Canis lupus familiaris: one gene and its partner. The protein of the gene in region 1 purifies or fractionates together with the protein of each later gene. This does not show direct contact. Links are inferred from orthologs where the notes say so. Each region holds a gene or a part of one and is shown on either strand. Other genes may lie near its edges.

The links. Proteins that work in one complex are often made in the same cells at the same time.
Region 2: the proteins of METTL9 (region 1) and SLC39A10 purify together in Homo sapiens (co-immunoprecipitation; 3 studies listed by BioGRID and IntAct, with this or other methods). This does not show direct contact. The link is inferred for Canis lupus familiaris from reciprocal best matches to the Homo sapiens genes METTL9 and SLC39A10.

The regions. Positions count from the first base shown.
Region 1 is NC_049227.1:23,453,152-23,456,720, forward strand, and holds part of METTL9 (methyltransferase-like protein 9), read right to left. Parts: intron 1,203-3,569; coding exon 1,012-1,202; intron 1-1,011. UniProt on the Homo sapiens protein: Protein-histidine N-methyltransferase that specifically catalyzes 1-methylhistidine (pros-methylhistidine) methylation of target proteins.
Region 2 is NC_049258.1:5,393,070-5,396,638, reverse strand, and holds part of SLC39A10 (zinc transporter ZIP10), read right to left. Parts: intron 2,130-3,569; coding exon 1,971-2,129; 3' UTR 1-1,970. UniProt on the Homo sapiens protein: Zinc-influx transporter. When associated with SLC39A6, the heterodimer formed by SLC39A10 and SLC39A6 mediates cellular zinc uptake to trigger cells to undergo epithelial-to-mesenchymal transition (EMT).

The DNA of each region.
Region 1 (3,569 bases):
AACTTGGTGCAGCCAATTTCAGAAACAAAATGTCAGACCAAGTTGTATAAATTCAACTACCAATACAAAAATAACAACTGTTTGCTGAAGCAAACTTAAGGCAATTTCATATAAACAATGAAGAAAATCAAGTAAGAAATCTTGAGAAATGGCTCATGGTGCCTAAAAACATATTTAAGGACCAGATGATAGATTGGGGATCCAGACATTCAGGAGAATCTGGCTCCAAACCTGAAGGGGGAAAAAAGTGGGCCCAACTAGTGGCTTTAAGCTGTCCAAAAAGGCTTCATAAACAGTGAGCCCTACTGATTTTCCCCTTGGCATTCTAGATTCTTGGGCCTTGGAGATACTTGAAAATTTGGCCAAGAAAAGATAAAAAATATTCCTAAAGCTTCTTCCATGGATTTATGCAAAAGAACCACTCTGGAGATAGGTACTTCCATAGTAAGTTTAAAAAATTCTGGTGAGGGATCCCTGGGTGGCTCATTGGTTGACCAACTGCCTTTGGCTCAGGGTGTGATCCTGGGGTCCTGGGATGAAGTCCCGCATCAGGCTTCCCTGCATGGAGTCTGCTTCTCCCTCTGCCTATGTCTGCTGCCTCTCTCTGTGTGTCTCTTATGAATAAATAAATAAAATCGGAAAAAAAAAATTCTGGTGAGCCTAGACATTATGTAAGAACAGATGTTGGACCCTTCACTCGAAATAAGCCATCACACATTGCTGCGCTGATTAAATCCCCCCAAAAAAACTTGCTCCTGGAAAGTGTGCTTAAGGTGAAGATTTCACTCTTCAGCTATGTTAAGAATTCAGTTCTTGATACTCTCCCACAGGAAATTAGCAGCATTATGAACATCACTTGGGAGCATAAGGCTGAAGACTGGACCCACTGTCAAGGATTCTAACTAGTAGAAATATTGTAGCGGAGGCAGTCAACACCTTCAACAAAACAACTTTCCTCTTTTTTTTTTCATAAACCTAAGGGTAAAGAAAAAATACACAAGATTCACTTACCCATTGATAGATGTTCTAGACATAAACAGGCTAAAAACAGATGACACAAAAGAGTGATATAATTGGATAAATAGCCAGCCCGATTTCTCAATGCTGTTGTTTAAGAAGATCTGTGTTCCTTGGTCAAGGTAGCTCTGAACAAAGACAGCCTGGAGTGATTCGCATAATTTCTCTCTGTTGCACACATACCACTAAAAAAGAAGAAAAAGTGAAAATACACAACTGAAGTGTCATCTAAACAAAAGCCCGAAGACTAAATCAAATGTGATATTTCCAAATATCATAATCTCATGGCCCTTGGCACTTTGAGGATAATCTCATCTTTTATACTCAGATAACCTACAAAGTGTAAAATACTTACACATACATAATTTCTCATTTAATTCTCCTAAGGGGATGGGAGGGCAGAGGAAGGTTGAAGAGGCTTCTGAATCATATAGCTTAGTAGGTTAGTAGGTGGCAGAGCTAGGCCATAATCCAGGTGTTCTGACTCCTGGCCCACTATTTCAGTCACTATACCTCCAGTACTCTGAGATCTAGGAAAGCTCTGTTGGCCTCTCCTTCACTGAAAATCAGTCTCAGAAGCCAAAACTAGCATTATTAACTTTGTTTTAGATAAGGAAACCATCATGTAATGCAGTGATTTAATTCAAAACCACCAAACACATCAATGGCAGAGTAAGCAGCAGAAGTTAACACTCCAGTGACCAGATTAAGCTGCCTTTAGAAATACTGAGGTGTGCTTTACCAGGTCATATAACATTCTCAAATAGGGGCAATATGTTCTTGAGAAAGATTAAGAAGTTACTTAAGGTCACATTGCAATCAATGAGAAAACAAAGTAATAACAGGCCAGAGAACCAAATACCCAGGAACAGGCTCTAACCAGAATGCACTTTTGAGAGCAAAATCCAAGAACCTCAACCATGGATGAAATTTAATCTTCCACAATACATACGTTTTCCATTTTCATTTAGAGTTAGTGTACCAGGAAAGGGGAAGGTAAATAGTAGGGTAGGCCAGCTTTAGGGTCCGCTCCACAATCAAGTCCTGGCTCCACCATTCCTGTGCAAGCTTGGAGAAGTCACTTAGTCACTGAGCCTCAGTTCAGTCATCTGTAGACTAGAGATGTCACTGGTATGTACCTATCCTAGTAGATACCTACCTGTCACTGGTATCTACTGAGAGGATTAAAGAAGGAATGCAGGCAAATCCTCAATATAGTACCAGACACACAAAAGAATCCTATAATAACAGCAATGAGATTCCTCTAACATGGCTGATAAATAACAGTAAGCCCATTAATTACAATGATGAAACTGTAGGGTTGACCAGTTACTACTAATCCATGATCTGCTAAGAAACAATCAATTTTTTCCCAATAAAGTCTACTGGCCAAAAGTAATTTGCTTCCCCCTGATAAATATGACATTTATCAGCAGGTGTCCCGTAACAGCTTACTCAACTGGTGGACCAATTTTACAGTCATTTGAAGCTTGCTAAATGTGGAATGAAATCTTGGGTAACATTCCTGACACTAACATTAAAAGGAACCAGTTAGAAACCAATACAAACAAGCAAACAGGCACATTAAAATTGCAAAGATTAGCTCATCTTTTTCACAAACCTATATCCAAACTAAATACCAGATGTGCCAACTGTTGACTGATTTGTGTTAATTCACTATTTGAACACTGTTACCAAAACTGCTTGGACTTGAAAACAATTTTCATTTCTTCTACTGTACATGATAAGCTGTGAAGCTTCTTATATTTACTGCCTATACTTTTTTCCTTGGTCTGAAAATGTTCTTGCTTTATCATTAACTAATTCTTAATATTCATCGTGCCTGAAGTTATGCCCCAGTACATGTCATAAACCATTTTTTATTATACTCACGACCTTCTGTGCACATTCTGAACTCTGTAATACTGAGGCCACTGTGACTTTTATTTATTTTTTATTCTCTGAAATGACTAATCAGGATGAAAGCCATCACCTCGGTTGTAGGCAATCAGGTACACTCTATTAATGTGGACAAGAAGTCATTCAAGTGAAACAGAGGAGCTAACAATTCCTCGGCATTCACTTGTAATGGACAACAGAAAACAGTGGACTTCCAGAACTTGGCATCATTAACTGCAAATATTGCTTTCAAGTGCCAAGAGGAAAACTCAAGTTCTTAACAGCATTTTTCTCAATTCATTGACATTCACACATGTGGTTGAACCTTTACAGCCAAGCAAGTGTTTCAGAAAAGAAACTGCTTACTAAACAGAATTGCTACAAAATAAAAAGGAGTAAAGCTCTCCTCTTTAAAGACAAAGGTTGAAATCCATGTTCCTCCTGACCATCTGCAGGATGCAAATGTCAACTCCACAGCAGCATTATTCATAATCTCCAAAAAGTGGAACTAGCCCAAATGCCCATCAATTGATGGATAAACAAGATATTCAGCCATAAAAAGCAGTGAAGTACTGATTCATGTGACAACATGGATGAACTCTGAAAACATTATGCTAAGGGAAAGAAGCCAGACACAAAAAGCCACAAAGGAT
Region 2 (3,569 bases), on another chromosome or scaffold:
TTCATAAAAGTCTTAAAATTAAGCAGATTTAATGCTGGAATGCAGAAACCTCCTTGGGTATAAAAATGCAAAAAAGAACTATAAATATATCTTGGTTCAGAAAGCAAGATATTTTAATCACTCCAAGTTGGCAGTACTAAATAAAATATCAGCACCTTTTAGCTAGGTTGCTTGAAGGGCCAAGCAATGAGATGAGGACTGTGCTAAGTCAGTGCCCAATGCGGAAAATATTCTATGTGGAAAAAAACAAAAACAAACCAACCTCTACTTATTACAGGAGGCCTTGGAGAAAGCCAGGAATAATTTTTCAAATTCAGGCATAAATCAAGGCAATAACACCTAAGCTTCCTTACTTACAGCATAAAGAAGAAACACTGGCAATACTCTTACTACCTGGATACATGTGCTGCTCTCAAAGTTTTATTTTTTTGTTTAAAGTTCATGAAGTAAGAGGAAAGGAGTTGAGGAGAGAAGGAGGGCGAAATGCAAACACTCTAAATGGAATGGAAGGAGTTTGGCTCTTAAATATTTGAACGTTACGATTTTTAAAGCAGCTGCATTGGTAGCCAAGCAGATTAAAACAAAGCTGCCTGCACAGAGTTCAAATACAGTTTACCTGGCATAAATGAAGACCATGTGGCACCAGATGTAAACAGAAAGCTACATGCAGTATGACTAGTAAACTACAAATTATTAGGCCAAAATGCAGGATCAACATGGCTTGCACTTCTCACAAGTCACCCGATTGTGGTGGAGCAGGGCACCTCTCCGGACCAGTCCCCATCAGGCACCAGCAGCGTATCTTGGCACAGAAGGATCAAGCGGTTTCAGCTGCATTACTAAGTGTCTCTTCCAAGTCACCTGGGACCGGGACACCATGGCATCCATGGGGATTATCCTCATAACCCTTTCTAACCGATTGTGGACGTGGTAAACCTGGGTTCCTGCCGGTCACGGCGTGTGTTCTAGGTTCCAGAACCAGGCCGGTAAAGCAATGCATTACGTTCAGAACTTAAATTTCCCAAATAACTAGTTAGTACTGTTAATACAGGAAAACTGAATATTTAGACCATGTTTGGGTTCTTCTATTTTCTGGTATCTCCTAGAGGGTTATTACATTTTTAACGAAAAAAACAAAAAACAAAAAACAAAAACATTTTACCACATGCTGCAAACTCCCTGCCCCCACCAAAAATCCCCAAACAAAAACAAAATTGAAGTTTGAAAGAAAAAACAAAACAAAACACCCAAACACCAAGTATAATATTAATACAAAGAACCTTTCATTAAACTGAAGCTCACACAAACATACAATCACAAAGTTCAGTAGTTTAGGCTGCAAGTTTAAACACTATGCCAATATATACAAAAATAGTAACTCTAGATTCAAGAATAGGGCTTTTCCCAACGCTAAGTTCATACGCTAACGCAGCCTGAGCTTTCCTCTAGTTCCTACAGCCTACTTTATGCAGTTTCAAAATTGTATCGAGTTGATCCCCATTACCTTAGGTATGTATGTAACTGGATTCAAGGACACTACAATTCATTTTTAGCACAAAGAAAAGTCTGCCCCAAGTCCATTTAAAATATTTTTAAAGTTTAAGTGATTTTTTTGGTTCAATTTCTATTTCTGCATAGCCACAGAAGTTTCTACTACCAAAGAGACTACTTTAGTGTTTCATATGATTTTTTTTTTTTTTAAAAGTCTGAATCAAACCTATACCAACATTGGTTCATGGAGTCCCATTTTTCTCCTTTCTTTATCACAAGCTTTATATCGTTAAAAGATCCCTTTCGCACAGGGAAAAGCAGTACTGAGCACCAGTCTTTTGTGGTTAGGCTCAAACCTATGGAACTTGTAAGTAGTGCAAGCCACCGACTTTTCTTTGAGCAATGTGCATACAGTACTAGGAACAGATGCAAAGCTGCATGGTAACATTCTCGTAATCCACAATGATTACTGGGAATGGTTAAAACTGGAGGTCAAACACAATTTTGTCTTCATAGAGGGCAATCACCAGCATAATGGCAAATCCAAACAGCAATCCTAAATTCTGAAGAATGAATTGCCCCACTGGACAAAAGCCATGTTCTTCATTGTCACCATCACCATGCAACATTTCTGGAAGCTGGGGGGGAAAAAAAAAAAGACCCGCAGATTCTTACAAGCAATTTTGGGTAATATTCTGCTTAATTTTTTTTAACATTCTTCTACTTTAAACTAATGAATAAAGCATAACTACAAGTAGAATTATTCTATTAAACATAATGCTAACCATGACACGTGTTTCAGCCAAACACTGACAAAGTTTATGCTCTAGCTATGTAGTAAGTAAATGCTAAATCTGTTCCCCCCTAAACCCTGAACAAATGCAAATATATGCACTAGGTATATATTTAAAGTTACCATTCACTGACCTGGTCATTTATGACATTTGCTTTATGCTAAAGTAGAAGACAACTTATTATTGCCAATAAAACTCTCCAGGAAAGACCACAATTCTCAGAATCACTGAAAATGTTAAGATTCTTTGGGGAGATATCTAGTTCAAAACGGTTTCATTTCTTTACCATTTCCATTTAAAATTCTCCTATCCAACTGCATGTGAAAGCATGGATGGACATTTACAGACGGCTCCTAATTTGTTATTTCTATGCCCTTAAGCCATTATTTTCCTTGCAAGAATAGAGAAAATAGTCTCTCAAAGCTGTCCAGCAGGACTGCTACCAAGTGGCTCTCACTGCCTTCACAGGGTACTCTAATTTCCCTAAACACGATAAAATTTCAAAAACCTGAATATTTCCAATACCTTTAAAGGCACAGTTCTTTGAAGTTTATAGTTTGATTTCTAAAGCATAAGCATATACTAGTAAAGAATAATACATACTTCAAATATAAAACTTGTCTTTAAGTAAATAAGATTTGTTAAAGAAATGCATGTGCATTATTACAAGCATAAGGTCCCTCCACCCATGTCTAATCAAAATTGTGAAAGAACTGCTACTTCCACATTTCATTTTCCTGTTCTGTGTATTGTTTTTCAAGTTTGCAGTGATTATCATCAGAACGATGACACTGATAGGCTACTCTCTTAGACTCTAAGCTTTACTCCAAACAGTATCTGGGTGCTTTTCGGTTCAGAGAGGAAAAATGCAGCATTAAGAACATAATGCCTGCCTAGGAAGAAGCACTACTGTTCTTATTAAATAATGAGTACAATTAATCCAACTGCCATATTCTGACATTGCAACAGTATATTTAACAATCCCCTCAGGGCCCTACTTGAGAACTACTTCATGCTGGTCATCTATTTTGTTCAAGAGTCTATGGCAGTAGCACATAATGGCTGATGGCAGTTACTGTTCTTTTTGAGCAGAGTTAAGTAACTGTGATAGACACCCCAGAGAGCAGAGCTGATTAACTGTCACAGAGACTATATGGGCTACAAAGCCTAAATATTTACTGTCGGTCCCTTTACAGACAGTTTGCCAACCTCTGGATTAAAACTAAACCCGGCAACTTCCCACCTGTGGTTCTAGTAAGAAGACTTTTTTTTTTTTTTCTCCTT